Tamandua tetradactyla: one gene and its partners. The protein of the gene in region 2 binds, or shares a complex with, the protein of the main gene of each other region. Links are inferred from orthologs where the notes say so. Each region holds a gene or a part of one and is shown on either strand. Other genes may lie near its edges. The genes, in order: E2F4, LIN9 and LIN52.

Region 1 (10,296 bases), on a different chromosome or scaffold from region 2:
CCTCAGGGCACTGACCCCAGGTACACATGCAGGGCCCAATGCAGAAGGGTGAAGGCGTCAGCAGCACCCAGCTCAGGCCCTGCAAGGACCTGCTGCAGGCTGCGACGCAGGCCTCTGTGCAGGGTATGAGCCCATAGCTGGACCACCTTGTAGTGCGGTGGGCAGCAGGGTGCTACTAATGCCTCAGCTGTGGCCAACTCGGCTGGCAGTGCCACCTGCAGAGCCTCCAGCCACTCTGCTAGGGCACCTGGCCCAGGCAGTAGATGTGTCCCAAAGTGGACCCGCTCCAGGCCGTCCTGTAGAGCCTGCAGACAGCGCTGCCGCCAGTTCCGGGGGGCCTGCCCCAAGGCAGTTGTGCGTCTAGTCTCCACCTCAGCCACGCGCACAGCAGCCACCAGCAGGGCAGGGTCCTCCCGGGCCAGCTGTCCTGCAGTTCCTGCAACCATCTCCACAGCCTGGCCCAGTGCCTCAGCCAGAGGGCCTAGCCCCTCAAGATCTGGCAACTCCAGGTCCCCTAGGTGTGCCCAGGTCTCCTCTCTCAGCTGCTCCAGCTCCCGCAGGCTCACATATGCCTCGAGGAGTTGCTGGGCATCAATCAGGGACTGTGTGTGGGTCACTGCAGCAGGCACTAATGAAGAACACAGGAGACAGCCCTGGTCTCAGAGTTAATACCTGTGCAACAGGTGCAGCAGGTGAGGAGACCTGGGCTGGGGTGATATGTAAATGTTAATAATCAGTACGGTGGAACACTGGCCCATTGGAAGGGCACAAGTGAAATTCTAGAAGCCTGGTGGACCATGTGTGGACCCTTGGGCTGATGGAACAAGAGGAAGTCAGGGATTCCAGAAGAAGTTAGGGACCACACAAATGGCTTTTCACCCACCCTGTTAGGAAAATAGTTCACTGTAACCAGGGTGCCTGTGTATCAGTCCTAATTCAGACAACCCATGCTTGGAAAACCCAGGATGAACTGAATTACATATGCTTCACATGTCATTTGAACCCTGGGAGGTTCCTGGTGTGTCCCTCCATGTGATCCCCACCTAGTGCCCCAGCCCCTTGATCAGTGAAGGAGCTGGAGAGCTGAGGCCTGGGACCCCAGCACACTCACCTGCCTGCAGCCGGGGCAGCAGCTGAGACAGGGCCTTCAGTTGTTTATGTTGGGCCACCTGCTCCTGCAAGGGTGCTAGGGTCTCTGCAGACTCAGCCATGCTCTGGAGCAACCCACAGGCCTGGCCCAGGGCCTCACGGGCTCCCTGCATGGACTCAAGGGCCTGTGCCAACTGCCCCACACCAGTCTGCACGCCCTCCAGGTACGACTGCATCACTGACTGTGGGAGGGAAGCCATTAGTGAGGCCTGGACAACCCCGCAGCACATCTCCAGTACTCCTGCTCCCCCAAACTTCATGCCTACTTTGATGCGAGCTTCCAGGGAGCAGGTGCGTTGCATCTCGCGGCTACGGTACTGGCCCAGCCTGGTCAGCTGCTCGGGCCGGTAGAAGATGCCGGAGGCCCACTTGAGCGCGGCACCCCGGGCCAGCTGCTCCGCCTTCTCCTGCTCTGGCCACTCAGGCCCTGGGCAGGAAGAGCCTGGGCAGCTGCGTCAGTCTGGCAGGGCCTGCAGGAAATGTCTGCCGAACCTGCCCCCCTTCCCGCCTGTCCCCTAGCTCCAACCAGACCTGCCAAGGAAGGACCCAAGCCCACGTTCCCATCTTCCTTCCTTCATCCCTCCCCCAGCCCACCCAGGACTCATACCAGGCAGAAGGGCAGGCTCCATTTCGTCCTTGGCAGAGTCCACGGCGGGCCCTGGAGGAGCTGGAGCTGCGGTAGGAATGCAAGGCAAGGATCTGGGTTAGAATGAGCTCAGTGGATGCTCCTTTGAGCTGCAGCCTCTGTCTAGGCCCCTCTAAGAAGGCGGAGGGTGGTTTTTGCCCAGCCCCCTCCGGAAATGAGAGGGAGGCCTTACCTGCTGAGTTTCCTAGTTGTGCTCCTCCAGACACAGTGAGGCAGGGTGGGCACAGGCCTCCGCTGGGCCCTGTTCCTGCTCTGAGTTGCAGGGGACAGTTTGGTGAGTATGGGACTCACCAGGCTTGCATAGGCACTCAGTTCCCCCTCCTCTGCAGACGGCCTTGGCCTTGATGATGGCTCTGTCTCCTCCAGTCCTGCAGCTGAGCTTCTCACTCCCTTCCCTCCCTCACAGGGTCTGGGTGACTCCAGCCCACTCCTGGCCATGCAATAGAATCCCTGTCCCTGGGGAAACCTCTCTCCCACCTCCCAGCCCCCTTCTCCCTCCAAGGCCCCTCCCTCCCCAAGGCCACACACAGAAAGGAAGGAAGCTGAGTCTCTGGTGCTTTATTCCCAACAGGAAAGAGCTTCTGCACTGTGGGATGAAGTGGGGAGGGCTGGGGCCACCTCCATGAGGGTTGGGGGCTGGGGGCTGAACTCTCTGAAAACTGCAAGTCTTGTCCAGCCCACTTCAGGACCTCCTTCGTGCTCAGGACCCAGGCATACCTGGGGCGGGGGTTGGGGTGGGGTGTGCAGATATGGATGCAGACTACAACACTGCGGTATGAAGTGTGTTGATGGGAAAGTGCCTGCCTCTGCAGAGGAGAGTAGCCACAGGCTGTTCTGAAGAGGCTGTGTGGTAGGTGATGGTATGAAGGGGGTCACAGGCCTTGAAAGCCGTGCCAAAGAGGTGGCTTCTTGTCCTCAGAGTTGTAGGGAGTTTTGGAGGGACTAGAGGATAGTACTGGGTAGCGGCCACTGTACCTCCCAAATCTGCCCTACAGGCCTGAGGGCTCACAGCTGCATCTTCTCGGTCATTATTAAGGTACATAGACCCAGATCTTTGTCTGGATTTAGAACATCTCTGAAGGGCCAACCCAGCTTCAAAACTCCTAATGGGATGGGCTGAGGGCTCTATTATAACTGCATTCTAACTTAATTCCTTTGTCTGCCTGATTTCGGCTTCTTGTACTCCCTTAGAAGCGTGGATCCCTGGTAAACTTTTTGCAAGCATATCCATGATTCAAGGTCTGTTTCCCAGAGAACTTGACCAATAGTAAAACATAATAAATAACAATGTTAAAAATAAAATGATACTAGCAAGAACATATTCCGCTCTCCGTGCCAGAAACTGCTCTAAGTGCTTTACACACATTTACACGTAGATAAACATGTTTGCATGGGCTAAAAAGTGGTTGTAATCTTATGGCAGCAACTAGACCTTTGAGCGCTGTGGTGTGGAGCAGAGAAAGAAGGAAGAAAGAAAGAACTGAGGCTGGGACCAGAGCAGGAGGTTTGGGATGTAGAGGAAGTGGACAAGCTAAATGTAGTTAGCGCTGGCTGTTAGGAAATGAAGGACAGGAATAGGGTGGGGCAAACTCCAGGAAAAGGTTTAGGAGAACATATTGGGTTCAGCAAGCAGGGTGGTCTCCTCTCCCAAGATAGGGTCTGGAGCGGAGTTAGCAGTGTTAAGGAAGGTTGGCAAGAAAGGTTCCGGTGACATTCCCTTCTCTACTGCGGGGGCCATCCACTGACGTCCTCCTTAGCCCTCCCAACTCTGTCCTGTTTTCGGGATCTCCGGTTTGTTTTCGCCCTCCTTGGCGGTTAAATTTTTCCGACGGTTCCTAACGTTTTGCGGCGGTGCTCACATGAAGGAATTGCGCCAAGTTCCCTGGAAGGGAGGAAGCGGAAGCAGGGTCGCCGGCACCGGCAGCCGGTCGACCAGGAGCGGAAGCGGAAGTGGCGGCGGCGCCGGCCTGGCCTGGCCTGGCTGAGGGGAGGCGGCGGGCGGGCGAGATGGCGGAGGCCGGGCCACAGGCGCCGCCGCCCCCGGGCACTCCAAGCCGGCACGAGAAGAGTCTGGGACTTCTCACCACCAAGTTCGTGTCGCTTTTGCAGGAGGCCAAGGACGGCGTGCTTGACCTCAAGCTGGTGCGGCCTGGGCTAAGGGGACGACCGGAGGAGTTGGTGGTGGATTAGGCCTGGCCGGGAGCGGGAACCCCTGGGGCGGTCCCACTGCATCTTCCGAGAGCAGGCCGCCATCGTGTGCTTTCTCACAGAAGGGAGGTCCCGGAGATGTTTCATTCATTCGGCAAAGGGCATTGAGCGTCAGCTGTGTGCCGGCGCGGGGCTGCAGGTGCTGGCCCTCGTGGCTGGCTCTGTGGTCCCAAGTTATGTAGTGCCTGAGTGGAGGTTTGGGACTCAGGTTGCCCCCTTGCCAGACAACTGCACATCAAGTCTCAAGGTAGCTGGGGCCTGCTGACCTGACGGATGCAGTGGGAGTTTTTGTCTAATAGATACGTGGCTAGGAGTACACCTGGGAAAGGGGCTGACCACCCTCCACTCTGTTCTGTCTGCCAGGCAGCTGACACCCTAGCTGTGCGCCAGAAGCGGCGGATTTATGATATTACCAATGTGCTGGAAGGTATCGGGCTGATTGAAAAAAAATCTAAGAACAGCATCCAGTGGAAGTGAGTGGGGGCATTTAGGATCTCTTATGCAGAAGTGTCAGAGGCGTAGGGTGAGGGAGGGTGTGTGCAAGTGAGAGCAGGGGCCAGGGGACTCAGTTCCTGGCAGCCTCTCTCAGCTCCGTTTCCTGGGCTCAGAGGTGTGGGGCCTGGCTGCAATACCCGGGAGATTGCTGACAAGCTGATTGAGCTCAAGGCGGAGATCGAGGAACTGCAGCAGCGGGAGCAAGAACTGGACCAGCACAAGGTGTGGGTGCAGCAGAGCATCCGGAACGTCACAGAGGATGTGCAGAACAGCTGATATCCTGCTGGCAGTCTTTACTTTGGGGGCATGGGTGAGGGGCCCTCTGGTCCAGATGGGTTTGCTCTCTGGTGCCCTTAGCCCTGTGTCTCTTGGGAGGATGCTCCTGAGGCTTCTGGCTGGATCGCTTCCTTGGGTTCCCTCCTCAGAGTTCCTTCCCCTCCAGACTTGGCTTGTCGTCCCTCCCCATGTGGACTTCAGACTCCAGTACTTTTTCTGAGGGTCTTTATCTCAGACACCTGCTAAAAAGCTGTGTCCTCTCTGTGGTCGCCATTCTGTTACCATAGACAGGGCATCCACCGTTCTCCTTAACCCCCACACCTTGGCCTACGTGACTCATGAGGACATCTGCAGATGCTTTGCTGGTGAGCAGAGCCTGGGTAGGGGGAGATGGGGGTGGGCCTGGGTTGAGCCACAGCCCTGAGCATTGGGCTCAGTGCCCAAGAAGAGTTCCATCTCTTAGGAGGGTTCCTGGGCCTGACCAAAGAGAAATCAGGCATGGGTAAGTCTGTAGTCCCCACCTGCACCATTCCCTGGGCTTGGCCTCTTGGGCATGATGGAGGGACAAGGAAGAGAGAGCGTTTGTGTGTGTGTGTGCGCACATTCGCATGTGTGTGCATGCTTATATGCAGGGGACAGTGGTGTCCACTTCTAATGATAGCTTAGTTTCATGTGGGTACAAGAGCCGTTCCTTCTCTACCTTACATCCCCTAGGTTGTTCCTGGGGAAGGGATGTTGGCATTAGAACACCTGAACTTAGGGAACAGCCCCATCAGTGCATCAGTGAGGTATTCCTGACTACCGATCTTTTGCTTTGTATATTTGAACCCATATTTTCTAGTTACTGGCCACTGGACTCTTGGTGAGAGAAAAGCTTCAGCTTCCTACCCCATCCACTGTGGGGTGTGGGTGAGGCCTACTGTCTAGCCCCTCAGAGACCATGATCTGCTGCAAAGGGCAGGCACTCTCATTCCAGCTGAAGTTGAGTCTGTGGGCTCTGACCCATCCTTCCTCTCATTCTAGGAGACACCCTCCTGGCCATCCGGGCCCCATCGGGCACCAGCCTGGAGGTGCCCATCCCAGAGGTGGGTGCTCAGCTCAGGCAGGCGGGGATGACTGAGGGCGGGTGCTGGCTGTGGAGCCTGATAAGTCCCGGGTGGGGCAGGTAGGGGGAGGCCTGGGGTTTGGGGTTATCTAGGAGGACGGGCAGCCTGGGGTGGGAGAGGACACTCTGGCCCTGACCCAGGAACAGGCAGGAGCCAAGTCTGGTCCCAATACCTGTCCACCATCCCTACCCCCAACCTCCAGGGCCTCAATGGGCAGAAGAAGTACCAAATTCATCTGAAGAGTGTGAGTGGCCCCATCGAGGTGTTGCTGGTGAACAAGGAGGCCTGGAGCTCGCCCCCTGTGGCTGTGCCTGTTCCACCACCGGAAGATCTGCTCCAGGGCCCACCTACTATCTCTACCCCTCCACTTCTGCCCAAACCTGCCCTGGCCCAGCCCCTGGAAGCCTCACGCCCAAGCAGTCCCCAGCTGACCACCTCTACCCCTATCTCCTGCAGCACCGAGGTCCAGGGGGTGGCCAGCCCAGCAGCTGAGAGCACAGGTGAGGCATGATTGGCAGCTAGTGAGGAGGTTATTTCCTGGCACCCAAGAGCTGCACCTTGTGTTATGGAATGCGATGCCAGAGCTGGAAGGGACCCTGTTGGAGTTGTCCTTTTCCTAGCCCCCACCTGGCCTCTCCTTGCTATGGCAGTGAACAAGCTCTTTTTAACAGGGAAACTGTTTGATGGGGCCTTCTTATCCCCCCACCCACCCATATCCACCTGTGCCTTACTTTCCCTGGCAGCCCCTCCTGAAGTTTGGCCACAGCAGCCATGTCACCCATGAGTTCCCTCCAGCAGGCCTCATGCTTTGCCTCCTTCAGTGACTCATTTCCAAGTTACCTATTCTGGGTATCTGCCAGTGCCTGGCTCTCCTTTGGCCTGGGATTTAGGATTGTGGTCATCCTGGCCCTGGGTTCTAGCACAGCCAGGTGCTATAACCTGTTTCCTGCCCCTCATGTGACTGGTTCGCGGGGGATGTGGTTTCAGTGAGTGGAGGCTGTGGAATCGAGAACAAGGACAGTGGTGAGCTCAGCTCACTCCCACTGGGCCTGACAGCACTGGATACCCGGCCACTGCAGTCTTCTGCCCTGCTGGACAGCAGCAGCAGCAGCAATAACAGTTCCTCTGGACCTAATCCTTCTACCTCCTTTGAGCCCATCAAAGCGGACCCCACAGGTGGTGAGTACCTGGCCACTGGAGGGCAGGAAGGACCCAGCCTCATCCCAAGTCTAGGTTAGTGACAGAATTGGGGCTGGAACCCAGCTTGCCTGTCTCCTCAGCCAGAGCTTGCCAGCCCAAGGATCCCAGTCTCTTGCCATTAACCCCTCTCCTGACACCCGAGCTCTCTGCCAGTCACCGTGTGAGGAAGAGCCTGACTTCGGGTCAGTGCTGGTGCCCCTTTTGCCTGCACTTCTTGGGCTACCACAGTCCTCCCTGCCCCTCTCGCAAGCCTTGTCTGCCACCCCTTGGACTCAGGTTTCAGGAAGGTACAAGTGCTCTCCTGGGGAGGAAATTCTGGTATGGCTCTTGGGTGCCAGAGTGACCTCCTTTCCGGAGGAGGAGACATCATCTCCCTGATACCTCCTCTTCTTCATGTGTCTTTAGTACTCATTCTTACCCCACAAGCCCCACTGTCTCTCTGTCCTCACCAAGTAACATTCTCCCTCCTTTGTGCCCCCCTCTCACACCTTTCCTTTCTCCGCCCTGTCTCGATTACTTGAAAAAGTAATTTTGACTTTGCTCCACTCACCTTCAGGTTGCAGCAGTCAGAACGCATGTGCCCACTTTCCCCAGAACTACTCCACAAAGTGCTGCTTTTGATAAGTTACCAAAGACCTGGCTACCACATCCAGCAGGTGTAGGGTGTTTTGCTCTGGTGCCTTCTTGCTCCATGTGTATGATCTTTCCTCCTTTGGCTTTAGTGGTGCCACCTCACTGGCTTCTCCCTGACCCCTCCCTGATGCTCCCTTAAACATTGGTGCTTCCCAGGTCTCTCTCCCATCCCTTGGGAGGGCCCCAGCTCTCGGTGGATGAATCTCTACCGTCCCTCTAGCCTAGATCTTTTGTCTGAACTTCAGACCTCTGTGTTCACCTGTCTTCTGGATGCCTCCCTCTCCATGCACATCCAGTAGGCGCTTCATTCCCATGTGTCCTCACCTGCATTTATCTTCCTTCTGAAACCTGCTTTTCTCCCTCAGTGTGTAGCTTCCTGTTGGCCCTTTTCATCCAGGCTTGACACCCCTGGATGTCACTCCACTTACTCTTTCCACTGCCTCTTTCCTCTGCTCCCCACCCCACATCAGCTACGTGAGTTTCTATCCCGGATGTCCTGCATCCTCAACACCCAGGATCAGTCCCTTCTACCACTAGCTGAGATACTTGATCCTCTCATCCTCTTCTCAACTCCAATTGACTGAGGCATCTTTCTGAAATGCAAACCTGACTGTGGCATTTCTGCATTTGCAAAAGTACTTGTAACAGCCCCCTGAGGCCTGCTGGGTAAAGTCAGAGCCCCTACACCTGGCATGTGAAGTCTCACAATCCAGATCCAGCACTTCTCTCCAGCTTCATCTTCCTCGGCTTCCCATATGTATTCTCCCCATCGGGACTTTGTAATAGAGTCATCACCCTGTGGCACTACACCCTGTTTAGGTGTCTGCCTTTTCCTCTGTTAGGTGACCTGAGGGTGCTCGGGTGCTCTGCAAGGGTGGGGGGTAGACGCTGAGCTCAGAAAGGTGGCGTGGGTCTGCTGCCCTTCTGCAACATCACTGAGTTAGGATGGCTGTGCCAAGCAACTACGATGGGCCTTTGGTATCTCAGGCTCAGCACTGAGGAATTTGGTTATAGCAGGGGGATGACAGTGGCAACTTGGTTCAGGGAAGACCCGGAGTGGACAGAATAGGACCTAAGGAAGGTGGGGTTTGGAATGGGTCTCTGTGCCTTTGTGCATGGCTTTCTTTTCTTTCAGTTTTGGAACTCCCCAAAGAGCTGTCAGAAATATTTGATCCCACACGAGGTAGGGCATTTCTCCCTGGGGCTGAGGGGCACAGCTCATTGGGTCCTCTTGCTTTTTTCTCATGGACCTTAGGGTTGTGCTTGGTGCCTGGGTCAAAGGGTAAAGCTCTGAATGGGGTGGAGGTGGGATCCTTTTTATGGGCTTTGGGGTTGGAGAAGCAGTAGCAGAAGGTAATTGAACTCTCCTTCCCCAGAGTGCATGAGCTCGGAGCTGCTGGAGGAGCTGATGTCCTCAGAAGGTGGGTGGCCCAGGAAGGCAGGGGTTTGGTGTGGCAGGTGGTGGGTGGCAACTGGGCGTGGCCTTGGCCCGGGGTCTCAACCTGGTACTCTCTGCAGTGTTTGCCCCCCTCCTCCGTCTCTCTCCACCCCCTGGAGACCATGATTACATCTACAATCTGGACGAGAGTGAAGGTGTCTGTGACCTCTTTGATGTGCCTGTTCTCAACCTCTGACTGATGGGGACATGCCGGTGTGGCTGAAAAACAGACTGTCTGACCTGGGGCCTGCCTGGGGACTGCCCTCCATCCCACCAGTACTCAGCTCAAGAGCCACTAATCCTGGCTTCCCTAGCCTTCCCTCACTGCACAGTTCTGGCCATGACTCCCACTCCTGTCCCTGCATCTGCACTGTGCTAGGAGAGCAGGGAAAAGGGGCTCAGCCCCCTCCATCATGGATCCAAAGTGTTTGCCTCACCTTTTCTGGGGCCTTCCCCACCTTGTGCCCTTGCTGAGCCCTCCCAGAGCCCAGGCTTGGCTGCCACCCAGTGGCACAGAACTGAGGAATCGCCGTCGCCCCCATAGGGCAGTTTGTCCAGCCCCACTCCCTGCCTCTGCCAGTCCCCTGCCAGCCCCCACCCCCACCCCAAGGAGGGAAGAGTTGGGTAGAGCTAGGTGCTTGCCAGCACTACTCTTAGCCTCCTTTGCTGCTGCCCACCCCCTGGCCCTTCAGCTCCTCCTGGCCCTCTAATGCACCACTCTTCTGTTCAGCCCTTAAGCCCTAAGAACTTGTAGCTGGAGGTGGTGAGGTGCTAACTGGAAGGAACAGAGATCTCTAGCTAGGAATCTGGCCAGGTCAGTCCCTGAAGATTGCCCCAGTCTCCCGTTGCCCCATAACCCTCCTTGTTATTCATTTACCCTGTTAGAGTCATTTGCAGAGATTTAGAAAGAGTTACAGTAACGAATGGATTCCTATATAAAGATTATTTTTATACTTTTTGCAGCAAAAGGAAATTGTAATATTTGTACAGTGTCCACGTGAATAAAGATGGTGCCTAAGGCTTTCTTTGATCTGGTTCTTTCAGGGGCCCCCTTCCTGGAACTCGGCTGGATTGGTGGTGGGGCTGGGTGGGTCACCTTGCAACAGCAGGAGCGGCAGGTGCAGCAGCCGCCAGCAGTCTGCTCC
Region 2 (10,296 bases):
TTATGCAATCACAGGGACTGGCAACTCTGAGCTCTGTAGGGCAGGACCCAAGCTGAAAATTTAGATAAAGGTGATGATGAAGTTCTTAGTCTAAATCCCCACAAGAACGCTGGCTGGTTGGAAACTCCAGGAAGAGTTAATGCTGAAGTTGAGTCCAAATTCTTCTTTTGACTTCTGAAACTCTCAATTCTGGCTTTTAAGACCTCCATTGATTGGTGAGATTCCCTACATTGCTAAAGGCAATCTCCTTTGTTGATTGCTGGAAGTTGAATCACATCCTCCACAAAAGATATGTTCAAACTTTAATCCCCTTTCCTGTGGCTGTGAACCCATTTATAAATAGGACCTTTGAAGATGTTTTATTAGTTAAGTACGGATTAATTTGTGTTCTAGTTTGCTAGCTGCCGGAATGCAATATACCAGAAACAGAATGGCTTTTGACAAGGGGAATTTAATGAGTTGCTAGTTTACAGTTCTAAGGCCGAGAAAATGTTCCAATTAAAACAAGTCTATGGAAATGTCCAATCAAAGGCATCCGGGGAAAGATACCTTGGTTCAAGAAGGCCAATGAAGTTCAGGGTTTCTCTCTCAAGTGAGAAGGCACATGGCGAACACAGTCAGTGCTTCTCTCTCGGCTGGAAGGGCATGTGACGAACACAGCATCATCTCCTAGCTTCTTCTCCTGGCTTCCTGTTTCATGAAGCTCCCCAGGAGGCGTTTTCCTTCTTCATCTTCAAAGGCCACTGGCTGGTGCACTCTCTGCTTCATAGTGTTGCTCTCTCTGAATCTCTCTGAATCTCTTTCTCCAAAATGTTTCCTCTTTTATAGGACTCCAGTAAACCAATCAGGACCCACTCAAATGGGTGGAGACATGTCATCCCCTAATCCAGTTTATCAATCATTCTTGACTAAATCACCTCAACCAGGGAGATGATCTCATTACAGTTTCAAATATACAGTATTGAATAGGGATTATTCTACCTTTATGAAATGGAATTTATATTAAAACATGGCTTTTCTTAGGGGGCATACTTCCTTTCAAACCAGCACAATTTGTGAATAGGATCTTTGGAGATCCTATTTAGATGAAGCCAAATTGGATCAGGGTGAGCCTTAATCTGTATTACTGAAGGCCTTATAAAGAGAAGAAATTCAGACACAGCCAGTCAGAAGAAGTCAGAAGTTCTTAGAATCCAGAAGTAGGAGATGCCAGAGAGTGACATGGCCACGTGACAGAGGACTGCCATCACTAGAATGCTTGTGTCTCTGGGAGAAGGCATGGCTTTGCCGAAGTCTCAATTTTGGACTTCTAGCCTCCAAGCTGTAGGCCAATACATTTTTATTGTTTAAGCCAACCCATTGTGTAGTATTTGATGTAGCAGCTCTGGCAAACTAAGGCATTGATGGTAGATATAATCAATTGATTATAGATGAAAATTCTACCTCAAAAACCTTCATAGTAACAAAAAGTCCAGTGCTTTACCACACAACTAGACACCATGACCTATTTTGAGTTGACATATGAAATTAACTGTCACGGTGTCTGTGCTGGTTTGAATTTGTGGACCCCAGAAAAGCCATGTCCTTTAATCCTCATTCAATATTGCTGGCTGAGAGTTTTTGATTGTTCCCATGGAGATGTCACTCACCCGATTGTGGGTATTAACTTTTGATTAGAGGGAGATGTGACTCCACCCATTCCTGGTGGGCCTTGACTGGAATCCTTTAAAAGAGGAAACATTTTGGAGAGAGACCCTTTTTTAGAGCCACAACAGAGCCTGTGCAGCCAGAGACCTTTGGAGATGAAGAAGGAGAATGCCCTCGGGGGAGCTTCATGAAGCCAGGAGAGAAAGCTAGCAGACATAGCCATGTTCGCCAAGTGCCTTTCCAGTTGAGAGAGAAACCATAAACGTCATCAGGCTTCCTGAATCAAGGTATCTTTCCCTGGATGCCTTAGATTGAACATTTCTATAACTTGCTTTAGTTGGGACATTTCCACGGCCTTAGAACTGTGGACTTGCAACTTAATAAATTCCCCCTTTTAAAAGCCATTTTGTTCCTAGTATATTGCATTCCTGTGGCTAGCAAACTAGAACAGTGTCCTTATCCAAATTTTAGTTTAAAAACAAAGCAAACAACTACACTTATACAATTATGTTATGGTGGAAATTAAACAACTCTGTGTATACCTGCTTTCCTCACAGAACAGAAGAAAAACTGAGGTGCTGAGAGTGAGCTAGATTTCTGGTTCTATCAGTTAGTCACTGCTGTTCTTGGACATGTTACCAGGTTGTTGAGAAGATCAAGTAAGTCAATGGTTATAAAACCTTTCATAAATACCCAATAAAGAACCTCACCGAAAATAATAGTGAAGGGCCTAGCTGCTAACAAGTGGTAGATCTGGACTTGGAAAACAGCTTCATTTAGAGTTTTTGCTTAACAGGCAGATTATCAGGGAAGGGCCTAAAAATCTTCACTTAAATACCATTCTTGCTGGAGGTTTCAGTTCTTGTTTTAAGAAAACTGCCTTAGGGGGTGGGCCACGGTGGCTCAGCAGGCAGAGTTCTCGCCTGCCATGCCAGAGACCCGGGTTTGTTTCCTAGTACCTGCCCATGCAAAAAAAACAAAACAAACAAACAAACAAAAACGTGCCTTAGGATAAAACGTGGTTTATTTTGATCTGATATTCATGTTTTGTTTATATCTATTCTTTCAGTCTCAGAGAGGTGGCCTTCTCTTGAACTCATCTCCAAGTTGCTGAAACTTCCAGTGCTTTTCATCTTAAAGAACAGATCAGAATGTGTTTAGAAGGCATAGCAGGGGTTAAGTTAGTTATGAAGGAAAGATTACTCTGTAAAATTGAACTTTCATCCTTCCCATTCACACCCTGCTCCCTTTCCTACCTCAATAAGTGACGGCTCTTTCCACCCACTTTCCTAAGGCAGAAACTTGGCATTATCCGTGACACCCCTTTTTCCTCACAAACTATGAATCACCAAGTCCTGTCTTTTTCCACACCTCTTGAGAGACAGAATGCATCGTGTCCCTCCATCTCCTTCAATACTTCCTGTTTAGAAGTAGTCATAGCAGTAGCAGTAGCTAACATTTGACCAAAATGCATGCTAGGAATTATCATCAGGATTTTACATCAACTCATTATCCTCAAAATAACCCCATTATTATTATTTGAATTTTATAGATGAGAAAATGAAGCACAGGAAATTAAGAAACTTGCCTGAGATTTCACAGATAGCAGCCATAATTCCAACCTAGTCCTTCTGGCCCTCTCTGAAACTCCACAGCCATTAGTGCAGGCAGATATCTCTCTTCTCTTCCTGGCCCAAGTTTCCTCCTGACTGATTTCCAAGACTTTCATCTTGTCCCCCTCCAATTAATTTTCCACGTTTGCTCTAAAACAAAAATGGAACCTGCTACCCCATTATTTAAAGCCTGACCTCTGTTGTGCCACTGTTCAAACAGTCCAACTCCTTAGCCTGGGCTGGCCTCTGTGTTTTGTTCTGTCCTCATCTCAGTCTTTCTACCACTTTTCAACTTTTTAGTTCCTGGAATTCACCCATGCTATTTTCATTGCTTAGGACCTCTTCTGCCACCTCCACCCGCACCAGATTCTTGAAGGGAAAGGATTGGAGTTCTGCATTTGTTAAATTAGTTGTAGAAAAGTAGCAATGGTTTATTACTGGACAGTGTTAGAGACAAGAATTGTGAAATTTTTTCCTGGGCTTCATTCAAAACAGGATGAATTCTCTCATCCAGTGTTTCCATAACACTTTTATCAGAGTGCTTTCTCAACCTTGTAGTGTCCCTACTGGGTTCTTGTCTATAACCTTACAAAACCTTCTGTTACTCATTTTGTAATTCTCTCCTAGCTCACTACATGATCCTGTGTCCAGTGGATTAAAGAACAGTTCTTTAAAGGCTGGCCTAGAAGACTAACTTGAGGACTCCTTCAGGTCCCTCTCAGGCCCTGCGCGGCTCCGGTTCCAGCATCACAGGTAACGAGGCGCCTCGGTTCGCCACGGGCCGCGGCGAACCCCAAGCGTTGGACCCAGTGGCTGTGGGGCAGCTGTGGCCTCCTCCCCTCGCTCTTCCAAAGAGAAAGGGATGGAAGCACAGAAGAAACGCGGGCTTGGGGAACCTTGGCAAATTTACTCCGTATGGGGTTCCATGGGGTAAAGCGACCGAGAGCCAGGGCTTCTCTCCCATGACGGGCCTCCAGGCGCCTCCTCCCGCTCCCGCCTCAGCCCGCCGGGCCTCTCCCGGCTTCCCTCCCTCTTCCCACTCGGAACAAACAGCCTGCAGTTCCCGCAGCGGCAGCGCGAGACCCGGCGCCGGGCCCGGGCGGGACGCGGGAGCTCGCGTTGCTCCCTCAGCGCTCCAGCGCCGGGCCGGGGCGGGGGCAAGGGGCGAGGCGCAACCCGCCCCACCGCACCCCCTCGGCCGCCAGCAGCGGGCGGAGCCGGGCCTCGGGCCACCGCGACGGGAGCAGCGCCCGGCAGCGCGGCAGGCAGCGAGCTCCGCATTCGAACCTCCCTCGCTAAGACAGTCTCCGCCCCACAATGCACCGCGGCGGGCAGCCTTTGAAAAAGCGGCGCGGCTCGTTCAAGATGGCGGAGCTCGACCAGTTGCCCGACGAGAGTGAGTAGCACCTCAAAGCACCCCCCTTTCCTCCCAGCGGTCGCCTGCCCCGGGCTGCAGCGGCCGGGACAGATGGCGTGCCCTCCGCCGACCGGGTGGGCTGACTGCCAGTCCCACTAGGTGCTCCTAGTCCTCCCACTCCTGTGTTGCTGCCGCGTCGCCGCCTTTGTTATGGTGTCTGTGTATTGGTTTCTGGGGTTGTGGGAGCGCCAGGGCCGGAAACCGAAAGCCGGAGAGCCCAGCCGGTGTCGGGCGGAGGCGGTGGCTGCTCCCCTGGCCGGACTCCGGCCCCCGGCCTTGGTGGGAGAAGAGCTGCCCCCGGCCGCGGGGACTGTGTCCGCCGCCCGCACCGCTCGCCTGGCGCGGAGAGACACCGGCATGGGTTATGTAATGCTCCTGTCCCCGGGCCCGGGGAGGACTCGGCCGGGGAGGGGGTAGCCACCTGCCCTTTCTTCTTGCCCCACCTTCAGACGGAGTCCTGCCCCAGTTGTTACCTGTCCAGGCACTTGTGGTCTTCACTGTCACACCTCCCCCCGCGATGTGCCCACCTCTGGGAGTGTTTCCATGTCAAGGGGCTGCCCTTTGTGGGACCACAGGTGGCAGTGGATCCTTCCAGAGATAATCCAGACTGGATACTTACGGCACAGGTAGCCTTCATCCCCACAGACTTTCTCCTGCGTGTGCGTATCTTGAGAGTCATGGGGGTACCTTGGACATATTGATGTGACCAACCAGTGTACCTGTACAGTACTCCTGACGCCCACGCCTGTGCATTGCTTCACTTAGCCATGTCTACTCACTCTGCCTCAATGGAATCTCATGAACATATATTCTCGCTTGTGTTTAGTACGTAAAAGCACTAATTCCATAGTTTAAGCACAGTGGAATGCAACTTTGTAATTTACTAAATTGCGTAAATTATATAGAAAAGCAAATGTTTTATTTTAGTTAATTACAAAGAGATTCTGAGTCCACACTCACTATTTAGTTTATGTATACATAGCATTTGCAAGAGTTTTAATTTAACAAAAACGAAGGGCTCAATCACTGAAAAATCTATCAGTGCACAATATAAATAGACTTTGAAAATTAGAGCCAAATACAGGCAATTCTTTGTGGAATATATATTTTCAATGTGTTATCAAGTTAAAATTAAAAGTTCAAGTTCTAGTTAAGCCAAGCTGGTGAAAAGTTGTATTAAGAGTATTTTTGTTTTAAATTTACTCTAGCCAGTGCTAAGTTCCAATAGTACTTTCTCAGCAATGGAAATGTTCTATTCTGTGATGTCCATTAGGATAACCTTTAGCCACATGTGGCTATAGAGCCATTGAAATGTGGCTTGAGTGATTGAGGAACTGAATTTTAAATTATTTAAATGTTCCTCCTCGTTATCTTTACCAAGAGATAACTTTTATCACCTCTTAGAAGAAGTTAGAATAGACTTATTTTAGTTACTACAGTCATTCTTTTGAGTGAAAGATGTTTTAAGTGGCTTTTAATATAGCTCTTATTGGGAGTATTTGCATTATCGTTGCCAAACATTTACCTAGGACTTACATATTTCTTTGTAGGTTCAAATCACGGCTGTACTTTCAGACTATATAACCTAATCATTTATATTACTTTGTCACATCTCTAGTACATTGTATTGGGGAAGTGGGGATGTACTTGTGTGCATGTCTTGTTTAGCTAGACTGCAGCTTTGGTGAAAGCAGAGATTGCCTTATGTGGCTTGTGACACAGTGTCACAAATCAAGTATATGTAAATACTTGATTTATATGGAATTAAACATAGGGTAAGAGGCATTACTGAAGATACTGGAACAGGAAAAGTAAAAGTGATTTCAGTTTGATACTGGAAATAATAATTTGTTTATTCATCAAGATTAGGCAAGGGGACTAGCTAATATATTCACCAATAGCCAGCAACTATTATCAATAATAAATGCTACCATTTATCGAGTACTTACTATGCACAGACACTGTGCAAAGCATTTTACATAAATCTATTCATTTAATCCTCATGTCAATTGAGATGAGTACTCTAATTAGTTTGATTTTATATCAGATCTTTCCCTTGTGCTCTTGTTCTTGACATCTCTTGCTTATTTCACATCTCCTATTAGATAGCTCAGAAGTTCCTCAAATTTTACAAGCTCAAAATCTAACTCATGACACCAACCCAGGACAGAGATATTTTCAGTGGTCCTTGTCTTAATGAATGGCTCCATCTGGCAGGGCAAGAAACCTAGAGGTCATCTTTGGTACTCCCTTCTGTTTCATTTCCCATATTTAAGCCTTTACTAAGTCTTGTAGCTTTTTCTTTCAAAATGTCTCTTAAATCTACCTGCTTCTCTCCATTACCTGAGTCCAAGCTGTCACCATCTCTTATCTCCACTAATCACTTCAACCTTTCATTAATCCATCACCCCTTTACCCACATACATTCACACTTAAGCCAGAGTGAACTTTTCAAAATGTAAATATGTCTTGCCTTTAGTAGCTACAAGATCCTGCATGGTCTACCTTGTCCCACCTTTCCAGCCTCATTTTGGACCTTCCTATCATTTATCCCTTTGAAATACTTTGGACCTTTTTCATTCCCTCTATTTACTAAGATGTCTTTTCTGCAGTGCCTTTCCATGTGCTATTCTCTCCACCTAAAATGGTCTTTCCTCCCCTTACTTTCAAATACCTTCAGCTTATCCTTTAGACTCCATTTTAGCTTCTTCAGAGAGCTATTTTCTGTCCTCCCTTACAGCATTAAACTACTTATTAAAACCTTTCTCATAGCACTGTGTAAGTCCTTAGTGGCAGCTGTCACAGTTGCAGTTTTTAATTTGTTTATGTGATTGTTTGGTTAGCATCTGGTCCTTTTACTATTTTAGAAGCCCCACCAGAGTAGGTACTAGTTCTGTTTTTAACACTCTTGCACCCCAGTTCTATGCATAAGGCCTAGCTTACCTCTCTGACCTTATTTCATACCACTTTTTCTTGTTTGGTACTCTTGAAGCACACTGGCCTTTTTTCCCTTTCTTTGAATATATTTTAAGCTAATTTCAGTTATTTTTTTTTTAGTTTTTGTTTTAACCTTCTGTTTCTTCTGTATTACTTCTTCCTTGTGTTCTTATGGCTAGACCTTCTCAGAAGTTTCCTCTTCCAGCCTTTCCTAACCATGGTATATGAAGTAACTGCTATAGGAAATAAACAGAGTGATATCAGTATGGGGGAGTTACTTTATATATATGGATAATAATTATCTTTTTGTTTACTTGTTTATTGTGTGTCTGTTCTCACTAGAACCCTGAGAACAGGGTTTTGTCCATCTTGTTCCTTGGGATATGCCCAGCCTTAGATTAGTGCTTATGCCAGGCATTCAGTAAATATTTGCTGCATGAGTGAATAAATATATCCAGCTAGAATGGGATTCTAACTTAATCAGATTTACCTGCCTGTAAATTCATGTTATTAACCTAATAGGTCTTATTGATTGATCAAAATAATTCCAACAATAAACACTAAATGAAAATTTGCCATGTGGTATGTACACTATTCTTAGCACTTTTACATACATTATTTTAAACATTTTTTATTGTAAGATGTAACATCTATACAAAACAAAAAAAGAAAACAATAATTTTCAAAGCATACTTCAACAGATAGTTATAGAACAGATCCCAGAGTTTCTGCCATCTCAGATTTTTTCTTTTAGCTGCTCCCAAACACTGGAGGCTAGATGGAAGATTAATATAGTGATTCAGGAGTCATACTTGTCTGTTAAATGCTATTCTCTTTTATAACTTCTTCTCCCTCGATCCCTCTCTCAATCCATAGGGATCCCTGGGCAACACCCCTTCTGACTTCTTCATGTTGATAAGGGGTGTAGACACTAAAGGATAGAGCGATTAATTAATTGATAATGTTAGAGAGGCTGGTTCCTTTGGGTTTCAGTATTTATCTGACCTAGGAATCCTCCGGGAGTTATAGTTTCCAGAAAAGCAAACTTAGCGCATGAAACCTCTGTAGAGTCTCAGTTTGAGCCCCAGGTATTGTCAAGAGTCAACAGGAGTGATGCTGGTTGGGGTTTAGCAAACCATGGCAATCAGTACTATCTAATTGAAGCTTGCACAATAGTTGCCTCCAGAATAGTCTCTGGACTCCACCTGATTTCTCTTGGCTCCAGATGCCTCATCTTTTTAGGCATCTTTTATTGCTTCTCTTCCTCCCCTTGGCCCAGAAGACATTTGCATATATTATTAACTCATTTACTCCCACTTTACAGATGAAGAATCAGCAGCACAGAGAGGTTAAGTACTTTACTTAAGGTAGCAAAGACAGGAAGTGGCAGAGTCAAGATTCAGATGTATGTAGTCTCCATCTAGAGCCAGTACTCTTAACCACTGTGCTATACTGTCTCACAAAAAGATTAGAGTTGATAGGTCAGAATCCCCAAGATATGGTTCCTACCATCGTGGAGCAGAAATTCTTCAAATCTCTGCTCAAATGTCACCTTATCAGAGAAGCTAATCATGAGCAACTTACGTAAAACTAATAGTTTTCTCACATATACCCCAGTCCCCCCACACTGTCTATCCCCTGTTATTCTGCTTTAGTTTTTTCTGTAATGCTTGTTATCACCATGTGTGTACGCTCATTAGGATGTAAATTCCATGAGAACAGAGACTGGCTCTTTTTCTTGTTGTTGTATCCCCAGTGCCTAAAGCAGGAATGTTTCTCCTACTTCCCGTCACCCACAGATCCTGTACTTTACTCATATCAGAACCTGTAGTCCAGTGTTTCTCAGTGTGGTTCTGGAGGTTACCTATAGCACATGCAAATGTGGTCAGTACTCTATATATTTTCACTGAAGAGTGAATGGTTTTTTCTTTTTCTCAAGTGAGCTGGATTTCTCTTGTTAACTATGTGGCTATTTACACTGACTACTACTGCTGCTCCTTTGTAAAGTTGTGTTATTTGAGGCTTTTAAGCAAGAATTTATGGCATCTTCTTTTTTTCCTGACTATACTGCCTTTGGTTATTTAACTTCAGTGTGTTGTAAAGAAGCTGGTGAGTTGTCCTGTTATCCATTCTCCACATATAGACAAGTGAGGTGGGTAAAAGAAGAATGACTTTGATGCTAATGCTTTGTCTGTTCTATAGGCCTCTCATTCTGGCCTGCGGAGGAAAAATCAGTTGTTCATATGCCTTGGACTTCTTTGTAATATACCTATCCAACTGAGATTTTAACCTTAGCTCTCCCTGACTCCCTTAAAAACTTCTTTCCCTGATGTTTCTCCTACTTCCCGTCACCCACAGATCCTGTACTTTACTCATATCAGAACCTGTAGTCCAGTGTTTCTCAGTGTGGTTCTGGAGGTTACCTATATAGCACAGCCCCCTGGGAAGCTTTACTAAGAATACAGATCTGCATTTATGAGAGTTTCCTGGTTATTCTAATACATGTGAAAGTTCGTTCTAGACAGTCAACCCCTCCAACTTTATCCTAGCTCCACTTGCTGTTTTGGACTTCCTTTCAAGGTTGGATCTTTAAGTGTTGTACATACCTGCGTTTTAGACTTTTAAGGGACTTATCACCTGTCATGCTATCACTGGGTCATTTCCTTTTTTTTTTCCCTCTAC
Region 3 (10,296 bases), on a different chromosome or scaffold from region 2:
TTCACAGAGTCTCACTGTGAAAGTTATATCATTGTTCAATCATCGTCAAGAAACATGGTTACTGGAACATGGCACTACATTTTCAGGCAATTCCCTCCAGCCTCTCCACTACAACTTAAACAACAAGGTGATATCTACTTAATGCGTAAGAATAACCTCCAGGATAACCTCTCGACTCTGTTTGGAATCTCTCAGCCATTGTCACTTTGTCTCATTTTACTCTTCCCCCTTTTGGTCAAGAAGGTTCTCTCAATCCCTTGATGTTAATTCTCAGCTCATTCTAGGTTTTTCTCATTCCTTTGATGCTGAGTCTCAGCTCATTCCAGAATCTCTGTCCCACGTTGCCAGGAAGGTCCACACCCCCGGGAGTCATGTCCCACGCAGAGAGGGGGAGGATGGTGAGACTGCTCGTCGTGTTCGCTGGAGAGAGGGGCCACATCTCAGCAACAAAAGAGGCTCTCTTGGGGGTGACTCTTAGGCCTAATTTTTAGTAGACTTGACCTATCCTTTGTGGGGTTAAGTTTCATGTGAACAAACCCCAAGACTGGGGGCTCAGCCTATAGCTTTGGTTGTCCACACTGCTTGTGAGAATATCAAGAATTCAACTTGGGGAAGTTGAATTTCTCCCCATTCTCACCATTTCCCAAAGGGGGCTTGCAAATACTTTTCCAGTCACTGAACAAATCATTCTGGGATTCATCGGGGGGTCACTCTGGACAAACCAACAAAATCTCATGTGCTACCTGAGATCCCAAGTACTTATGACATTCAATCAAACTATCTACATGAGTTAGATTAGGAAATGCTCTAGTCAAAATCTAAATTTTGTAACAAATAAGCATTTTTTGCTTTAGTCTCACACATAAGGTGATATTTTAAAGTATTAATTATCATCTATTTTCAGCACCCTGCAATAATGACATTCCTTTGTTCTTCCTCATGCAAAAACATTTTTAAAATTTGTACATTGTACATTTCACTATTATTATACACTCTAGGCATTCCTAGATTATACCATCTTGATGATCATTCCATTCTTGATATATAATCAATAACTCACATCATCACATAGTTGTATATTCATCATCATGATCACTTCTTAGAACATTTGCATCAATTCAGAAAAAGAAATAAAAACAGAAAAAAATTCATACATACCAAACTCCTTACCCCTCCCTTTCACTGATCATTAGCATTCAATCTCCTAAATTTATTTTAACATTTGTTCCTATTATTTATTTATTTTTAATCCATATGTTTAACTTGTCTGTCGATAAGATAGATAAAAGGAGCATCAGACACAAGGTCTTCACAATTACACAGTCACACTGTGAAAGCTATCTATCATTATACAATGATCGTCAAGAAACATGGCTACTGGAACACAGCTCTACATTTTCAGGCAGTTCCTTCCAGCCTCTCCACTATACCTTAACTAAAAAGGTGATCTATATAATGCATAAGAATAACCTCCAGGATAACCTCTTGACTCTGTTTGGAGTCTCTCAGCCATGGACACTTTATTTTGTCTCATTTCGCTCTTCCCTGTTTTGGTCGAGAAGATTTTCTCAATCCCTTGATGCTGAGTCCCAGTTCATTCTAGGATTTCTGTCTCCTGTTGCCAGGAAGGTCCACACCCCTGGCAGTCATGTCTCATTGCAGAGAGGGGAAGGGCAGTAAGTTTGCTTGTCATGTTAGCTGAGAAAGAGAGGCCACATCTGAGTAACAAAAGAGGTTCTCTTGGGGGTGACTCTTAGGCCTAATTTTAAGTAGGCTTAGCCTATGCTTTGCGGGGTTTTCATATGAACAAACCCCAAGATTGGGAGCTCAGCCTACTGCTTTGGTTGTCCTCACTGCTTGTGAGAATATCAAGAATTCTCCACTTGGGGAAGTTGAATTTTCCCCTTCTCACCATTCCCCCTAGGGGACTTTGCAAATACCTTTTTATTCACTGTTCAAATCACTCTGGGATTTATTGGGGCATCACTCTGGACAAACCTACAACACCTCATGCCCTACTCAAGGTTCCACGTACTTTTGGTGTTCAATTAAACTTTCCACATAAGTTATATTAGGAAACGCACTAGTCAAATTATAAATTTTGTACCAAATAAACATTTTTTGCTTTAGTCTCACACAAATTAAAGTTTTAAAATACGAATTACTATCTATTTTCAACACCCTGCAGTATTGACATTCCTTTGTTCTTCCTCATGCAAAAACATTTTTAAATTTGTACATTCAGTCACTATCATTATACACTCTGGGCATTCCTAGATTATACCATCTCAGTCTTTGTTGTCTATCTTTCCTTCTGATTTCATTTGTGTCCCCAGGCCTCCTCCCTCTATCATTCTCACATTCAGCTTCACTCAGTGTGCTAACATAATTGTATTACAGTTAGATAGTATTGTGTAGTACACATTTTTAACTTAGCCTGTCTGGCCAGTTCAGTTAAACAACCTAAACACATGGAGCCTAGAATTGGGAACAAGACCTTGCAATTCTGCATCGCTTAATATAATACCTGGATACATTCCAGAGTATGTTGGACAGATAATTAAAAAGTATTAGCAAAGTTCCTTCAGGGACTGGGAAAAAAATATCGAACTATTAAACTTTCCCACCTGGGATATCCCCGATACTCTCTCAAACATTAGGGACTCCCAAATTAATAGGCCACACCCTTGATCTTTTTTTCTTTAATGTTCTTTTTTTAAATTTTTTATTTTATTTTATAAAAATATTTTTATTGATAAACCTTAACATGCAAACATTCCATACATGATATACATACAATGGCTCGCAATATCATCATGTAGTTGTGTATTCATCACCATGGTCATTTTTAGAACATTTGCATCACTCCAGAAAAAGAAATAAAAAGAAAAAACTCACACTACCATACCTCAACCCTTTCTCTCATTGACCACTAGTATTTCCATCTACCCTATTTATTTTAACCTTTGTCCCCTATTATCTACTTTTTATTCATATTTTTTACGCATCTGTCCGTACTCCAGATAAAGGGAGCATTGGCAACAAGGTCTTCACAAACACACAGTCATATTGTAAAAGTTATATCATTATACAATCATCTTCAAGGATTAAGGCTACTGGAACACAGCTTAACAGTTTCAGGTACTTCCCTCTAGTCACTCCAATACACCATAAACTAAAATGAGATATCTATATAATGTGTAAGAATAATCTTCAGGATAATGTCTCAACTCTGTTTGAAACCTCTCAGTCACTGAAGATTTGTCTCATTTCTCTCTTCCCCCTTTTGGTAAAAAAGGCCTTCTCAATCCCTTGATGCCAGATCCCGGTTCATCCCAGGATTTCTGTCCCACATTGCTAGGGAGATTTACACCCCTGGGAGTCATGACTCACACTGGGGAAGAAGGCAGTGAATTCACTTGCTGCATAGGCTTAGAGAGGGAGAGGCCACATCTGAGTAACAATAGAGATTCTCTGGGGGTGACTCTTAGGCCAAATTTTAAGTAGGCTTAGCCTGTCCTTTGCAGGGATAAGTTTCATAGAGGCAAACCCCAAGATCAAGGGCTCGGCCTGTTGATTTGGCTGTCCCCACTGCTTGCAAGAATATAAGAAATTCTCCAAATGGAAAAGTTGAATATTTCCTTCTTTCTCCACAGTGCCCCACAGGGACCTTGCAAATACTTCTTTATTGACTGCCCAAATTACTCTGGGATATATTAAGGCATCATACTAACCTGGACAAACCAACAAAGTCTCATGCCCTATTCAAGATTACAGGTACTTATGGTGTTCAATAAACTGCCCAGACAAGTTAAACTAGGAAATGCACCACCCAAAATATAAATTTTGCACCAAATAAACATCTCTCCCTTTGGTCTTACACAGAGGTTGAAGATTTAAAATATAGACAATATCATCCTTGACCTGACGATAAAGGTATTCTAATTTATCCTAGTCCTATCTGGATCAGCTTCATTCAGATATGTACTGGAAGTCACATCCCTTTTTCAACTTTGTAAACAGTTCCTGTACTGCTGACGGTCACAGCTTCGTCTGAATCTCAGGTGTCACATAAATGCCCAAAGTTTCTGCACACCCTTGAACTTGAGGCTTGCTTTTATGAAACTTCAATCTGTAACGGAGAAGCTAAGCCTAGCTATAATAATGCCTAGGAGTTATTTCCAGAGAACCTCTTTTGTTGCTCAGATGTGGCCTCTCTCTCTCTCTCTTTCTCCCCCTCTCTCTAAGCCTAACTCTGCAAGGAAAATCATTATTCTTCCCTGGACATGACATCCAGGGATGGAAATCTCCCTGGTAACGTGGGACATGACTCCCAAGGATGAGCCTGGCCCATGGGATTAACAATGCCTTCCTGACAAAAAAGGAGAAAGAATGTCACAAAATAAGCTATCAGTGGCTAAGAGATTTCAAACAGAGTTGAGAGGCTATTCTAGAGGTTTTATATAGCAAGCTTCAGTTAGATATTGCTAATTGCCTCAGTATACCAAGCCCCAACCAACAGTATTCTTCTAAACCCTAAAGAATACCCAGGGCTCTATATGAGACTCTATAAAAGCTGAACTCACTAAGTTTACTTTTCAGAAATTTATAACCTCCAGATGGTTCCTACACCAGATAAGCCCTGAAACCCAGAATTACCAGTCTTCCAAGAGCATCAACCATTGTATCTCCCTACCCCATAATGTCAACACTCCTCTTCAACATGAAGAAGTTAGAATGGCCATTGCCTAAATATCCCCCAAAGAGTGGGTGAAGGATCAAAGGAGAAGGAAGAATTGTATCAAAGAAGAGAGGATTTAACAAATGAGTATAACTACTGAACCATTATACTGATATTCTTTTTAGTCTCCAGTGTCTTAGGGCAGCTAGAAGGAAATATCTGAAATGGTGGAACCATAATCCATACCAGACTTTTAAATTTGTTCCAAAACTACTTGTTAAAATGTACTTTGAAATGTATCAATTTTTTGCATGTATATTTCACAATAAAAATGTTTTTAAAAATGAATGCAGGAGGAATGCCCACTATTCAGCATGGAGGCAGAGGTCAATAAGCTGGAACTGATGACCATGGATCCTTAAAGGAAATCCTTCTCATCAGAAAACTGTATATAGATACAAAAAAAAATTGCTAGGTATAACCCAGGATTTGCAGATGACCACATGTTAAGAACATCTATGTTTCAACAACTGCCAGCTTTTCAGAATTACAGAAAGCTGACTCTGATCTTGATTACAATCAATACAGGCTGGAATATGAAATCAAGACCAATCATCCTGATTCACTAGGTGAGAAAAATCCAATTATTCTCTTAAAGGAATTGTCAGCAATAAAGTTTTGATTTCGGACTTTACATGCACGCTTTAAACCAGCTGCTGATAAGCAGAAAGAGATGAAGAGCTGCATTTTTGCTACTTTGAATAAGACTAAGACCTTATGAATAAAGACTATGACAGGAAATACAAAAGCAAACAAACCTGGAGCTGTTATCACTGACTGAAGAACAGGAAAGTGTGGCAGAGTAATTAAAATCTCATATACCAGACTTGTGAAGAAATGGACTTGCAAAAGGGAACTCTAATAAAGGAAAGATAAATCAGCACTTGTTGACTAGAAGTTAGGGTGTGCTGGTGAGGGAGAAAGTTTGTCTTGGGTGACTGGATAATAATATATTTCACAAAAGAGGAGAATAAAAGAAGGCAATCATTACCTGAATAAAATTCAGACAAAAGGACTGAACAGGAATAGAGGGATTTAAAAAATAAATTGATGCAAGACCCCAACTCTCTAAAAGAAAACAAAGTACAAAAGCATATGGGGGGCGGGCCACGGTGGCTCAGCAGGCAAGAATGCTCACCTCCCATGCCAGAGGACCCGGGTTCAGTTCCCGGTGCCTGCCCATGTAAAATAAAATAAAATAAAATAAAATAAAATAAAAAGCATATGGGTATACCAAAACCACCCAATTGCTTAGGCAACTTAGGCAACATATAAGCAGAAATTTATTAAGTTACTCAGCCTGAGGAAACAACAAAACAAAAGCAAGAGATGATGAGACGCGTGCAAGATTATACTAAAAAGCTCAATTCTCATTTTCCTCAGGACTCTCATGGTTAGGGCCCGAGGTCCCTCGCTTTACTTTGCAGGCAGGGCAACCGTCCCAAACAGAGACGATGGGAGACAATCACGTTTCTCTTGTGGCTCAATCCCAGGATGAGATCAACCACTAATCCCAGCAAGGGCTTGACAGAATCTTTCAGGATGTTCAATGAGAAGAGAACTGACCCTTCAAAAGAGCGCCTGAGAAAGACAACTACAGTAAGGCACCTCCTTTCCTTTCCTCCAGCAGCATCTCCTCCTAGGCCCTCAGCCTTTCTCAAACAGGGGTAAAGGATGAAGCGATACCCGTCCTTTTGCCCGAAATAGGTCCCTCGCAGATGCCCTACTCCACCGTTTGGTGTACAGCGGGGAAACTGGCACCTCTGGAGCCGCTGTGGAGAACCCGCGAGCTGAAAAAGGAGACGCATCCCAAGGAAAGGAGTGAAAGGGAAAGGAGAGAGTTCCAAGAAAGAAGTGTAAGCTTGAGGGTCAGACGGAAAACGGAAGCTTCCTAGTAAAGGGGGTTGCAGGCGAAAGATCTAAGCCGGCTCTTACCGTCAGTGGGAGACGCCATCTTCCAACCCATGTCACGTGACGTGGCCAACCGTCGGCGGGAAAGCGAGGATCATGAGCCACGCCCCCAAAGGGAAACCCTATCCCCAACTCGCAGCCCGGACTCGTTTCCCCGCCTCCTAGGGCAATCTTTGATTAGCCCCGCCCACCACTTGCTAGCCACGTCCCTCATGCAAAATTCTTGGCGGATCTTATTTACTTTCCTCAGTGATGGGGCGGGGCCGCAGCTGTGCGTATGACCAATCAGAGTTCCGGGTTAGGGGGGCGTCTTCCCCGTGTTCTCGCTATAGACTACTCCTGTCAGGGGCGTCTTCCTTATCCCTGCCAATTGAAGTTGCTGAGGCGGGCTGGGGGCGAGTTCTTCCACTATTGACCAATCGTGTATCCCCAGGCCTGGTATTTAGGGGTGGAGTCAGAGTTCAGGGTGCGTGATTGGCTAGGAGAAATGGCCCTCTCTGCCAATGAAGAGGTCCTGCAGATGGAGGGGCGGGGTTTGGCCCCGGTGGCACTTCTGAGGATCTGCACCAGCAGCAGAGGAGCAAGGAGACGAAGAAGAGGCCTAGAGCCATGGCGGTGGTGGCTGCTGCGGCGGCATTCCGGGCCCGTATCCTGCAGGTGAGTGAGGGACGAAAGATCGCGAGTCCAGGAATTGGATCTTTTCCGTCCACTCTCTCAACCGACCTCGGACGGGCAGACTTATTGGCCCAGCTTCTTGGCCGAGTCTCGTGTTCTCACCTGACCTGTGCGGCCGTGTTCCCCCACCCCCACGCCTCGTCCCAGCTCCAGTCCTGGGCCATCACCCCTAGTTCCCCGCCCTTCTACTCCTGATCCTCCCGTTTTCTGGCTTCGGCCCACTCTGCTCTTCCACCTCTACCCCTTCCTTACCTTCACCTTCTTGCCCTTACTTCTCTAGTTCTCCTCACCGTCTTTCCCTTCCACCTTCGCGCCTGCCACCTCTCCCAAGAACCTTTAGAGCTCTTTCTCCTGCTCCCTTTCCTTCATCGTACCTATCCGAGGTAAGAGGGGAGCTGACACGCGAGGGGCGATGGTCACTGAATGAACGTTTTTTAAATTAAATTTTTTTTTATTAGAGAAGTTGTGGGTTTACAGAATAATAATGCATAAAGTACAGGATTTCTATACACCACCTCACCATCAACAGTTGCATTGGTGTGAAAAGTTCGTTACAATTGATGATAACACTTTTTACTGAATGAACTTTGGATATCCTTCTAGAAGTGTCCACTAGGTTTTCACCAAAACCAGCCTTGCTAAGCGTCCCAGCTGTGGCTCTTTGTGTATTCCACAGGCCTTTTCTTGCCAAGGCTTTCACTGAAACTTTCTCTCAGGGAAGTTACACTTTTCACGTTGGAGGTAAATAAGGGCCCGTAGTTATGCTATCAGTATGTTGCATGTTCACTCAAGGGTCTAAACATCTCTAAAGCAATGTGATAGAGGGAGCCAGGGAAGACAAGAATTGTGAGTTCCTGTCCCAAAGTCAGCTCTTGGAGTACCAACATACCCTCAACTTCACCCATGGGAAAGTGGATCCTCTGAAGATAAGCCTAAGGAGAAGTAGTGAAGCTACAAGTGCTGCAAGCCCGAGTCTTATGGTGGCCAGCTCTATCCGAAGCCTTTCCCCTGTTTTTCAAAGCCTAGTGAGCATGCATATTAAGGACTTAGAATATAAGACAAGATTTACTGTAGGCAAAATTCTCAAATCTGCAAGAAACAGCATTACCTCTCTTGTTCATTCACCCAGCCTGGGAACTTCCTCCATATTGCTGGACTTTTAAATAATAATAGTATTTACCAGGTTTCAGTGAGTTCTATCTCAGAAACTTGTGCATTGTTAAGATTCTTGACAGAGTCATTGAAGATTCATGTTTAAATATGGTCTTTGATGGGACATTGTGGAAGATGGATTGGAGGGTTTTTGTCAAATGATCTGGCCTTATATATCTCTTGCTGTGATTCTAGTTCTGTTTTTCTAGTATTAGTAAAAAAGAAACAAAGTTGCCAACTCCCTCCTTGACATCTTTCACAGAAATAGGCTTTTCTGAGGGGGCAGGTGCATGGGCTGGGAATCAAACCCAGTTCTGCCACATGGAAGGCGAGCATTCTACCACTGAGCCATCAGTACACCCTCAGAAATAGGCTTTTACCTTTTACCCTTGCCCATTATAATAAGTCATTGAGAGCTTTAAAGAAGGTAATTTGTTCATTTGCATCAACAAGAAAAATCTCTCCTCTCATGCACTTTATTTTGGAAACAGCCACTATTTTCTGATTCATTTGAAGAAACTTCTGAACATAAACAGTAACTCTTAGCCAATTAGGAGTTGCTATAACATGAGCCCTTGACAAAAGAGTAGTCTATATGCGCGCAGCAGCATAAATATTAGACAATCTGTAAAGGAGAAAGTTCCCTGTTTTCAGTTATTTTAAGTTTTCAGCTTTTCTTTTTTATGGTGCCTTGTGAAACTTACCTAGAATCTCTGCTCTTTGAGATATCCTTCCCATTCAGAGATAAGAAAACCAGTTTTAAGGAGATTGTGACTTGCCTCAGTGTTGTGGTAGAAAGAGTATAGATTACTTCGAAGTCATACTTGAAGTCTAACCCTTCTCCACCACTTTTCTAGTTTTGATAATATTTGTGGGAATTAGAATTAGTGAATATAATTATGTAAATTACCTGACCCTTATGTTTCCCCAAGGTCTCAAGTGGTAGTAAATGATGAAGCTGAGAATTCAGAACTTAAACATCTCTTCTGCATTAGGCATTGCCCCAGGCTTTGGTTTCACTGAAATCTCCCCTGTTGTAATACAACAAGAAATGTGTAATAATAATAATAAACAATAGGAGAACACTGGGTGCTGTGGGAACAGAGCCACAACTTCATATGGCCAATTCTGGAAAATATTCCAAAAGTGGTTGCCTTTGGGGCTGGGGCTGTTTCTAACAAGACTAGCAGGCCATTCGCCAGGGGAAGAAGGGAGTTCCTGATAAAGGAAATAGTAAGTAGCAAATAAGCATCTAAAGAGCAAGAACTTTGGTTTGACGTTGATTTCTTCAATAACAGTGCTAATGAAGGTGTTTCTTGGGAAATGAAGGAAAGATAGATCCAAACTGTCAAAAACTAGGATCTTGATGTATTTTATAGATAATTATAGCCTTTTGACAGCAGGGAATCTGTGTGCAAGTGAAAAAATAAAACTAAGGCCTAGAATGCTCATGTTGTCTGATCCGTGCATTTTCTGCCCTTTAAGAGAGTGCACATAGAGCAAAATTATTATCAAGGTTGCTTGGTAAATACTCATTCTTTCATTCTGGAAAATATTAATGAGTGCTTACTTTATTCCAGGAACTGCACCAGAAGCTGAGGGACACAATGGTCTAGTGGTCTAAAGGAAGAGAAACATAATTAAACAAGCTGTTATCACCTAATGTGATAGGAGAAATAGAGAAATTCAGGGTGTTTTATGAACTCCATATTAAGGTACTTAGCCCAGACCCCAGATTGAGATTTTCTGGAGAAAGCAATGGCTAAGTGGGGACCTAAAGATATAGGAATGAGTCAAGCAAATAGGATGAAATAATT

Evidence for each region.
Region 1: LIN9 (region 2) and E2F4 share a complex: the UniProt entries of both Homo sapiens proteins name them as parts of the DREAM complex. The link is inferred for Tamandua tetradactyla from reciprocal best matches to the Homo sapiens genes LIN9 and E2F4.
Region 3: the proteins of LIN9 (region 2) and LIN52 are in contact, whole or in part, in a crystal structure (PDB 6C48), measured with the Homo sapiens proteins. The link is inferred for Tamandua tetradactyla from reciprocal best matches to the Homo sapiens genes LIN9 and LIN52. Residues at the interface, in NP_001353174.1 of Homo sapiens: Leu335, Gly336, Phe338, Phe342, Leu343, Ile344, Val346, Thr347, Leu349, Ser350, Lys351, Leu353, Met354, Lys356, Lys357, Ile360, Leu363, Arg364, Asn367, Thr368, Ala370, Glu371, Lys374, Ile382, Phe384, Gln385, Tyr388, Ala389, Val392, Leu395; in NP_001019845.2 of Homo sapiens: Asp61, Met64, Leu65, Leu68, Gly69, Leu71, Thr72, Thr73, Leu76, Met77, Val80, Leu83, Gln84, Leu86, Ala87, Leu90, Asp93, Glu94, Glu97, Met98, Arg100, Gly101, Leu104, Asn105, Ile106, Leu107, Glu108, Pro110.

What each region holds. Positions count from the first base shown.
Region 1 is NC_135342.1:60,883,303-60,893,598, forward strand, and holds E2F4 (transcription factor E2F4), read left to right. Parts: upstream 1-3,766; 5' UTR 3,767-3,802; coding exon 3,803-3,937; intron 3,938-4,366; coding exon 4,367-4,476; intron 4,477-4,611; coding exon 4,612-4,773; intron 4,774-5,095; coding exon 5,096-5,139; intron 5,140-5,797; coding exon 5,798-5,859; intron 5,860-6,082; coding exon 6,083-6,380; intron 6,381-6,867; coding exon 6,868-7,059; intron 7,060-8,848; coding exon 8,849-8,896; intron 8,897-9,089; coding exon 9,090-9,134; intron 9,135-9,231; coding exon 9,232-9,347; 3' UTR 9,348-10,174; downstream 10,175-10,296. Other genes in the region: EXOC3L1 (exocyst complex component 3-like protein), read right to left, coding at 16-628, 1,112-1,331, 1,757-1,822, 2,087-2,233. UniProt on the Homo sapiens protein: Transcription activator that binds DNA cooperatively with DP proteins through the E2 recognition site, 5'-TTTC[CG]CGC-3' found in the promoter region of a number of genes whose products are involved in cell cycle regulation or in DNA replication.
Region 2 is NC_135333.1:20,289,180-20,299,475, forward strand, and holds the start of LIN9 (protein lin-9 homolog), read left to right. Parts: upstream 1-4,542; 5' UTR 4,543-4,577; coding exon 4,578-4,656; intron 4,657-10,296. UniProt on the Homo sapiens protein: Acts as a tumor suppressor. Inhibits DNA synthesis. Its ability to inhibit oncogenic transformation is mediated through its association with RB1. Plays a role in the expression of genes required for the G1/S transition.
Region 3 is NC_135338.1:33,068,014-33,078,309, reverse strand, and holds the start of LIN52 (protein lin-52 homolog), read right to left. Parts: upstream 7,048-10,296; 5' UTR 6,708-7,047; coding exon 6,677-6,707; intron 1-6,676. Other genes in the region: ALDH6A1 (methylmalonate-semialdehyde/malonate-semialdehyde dehydrogenase [acylating], mitochondrial), read left to right, coding at 7,262-7,309.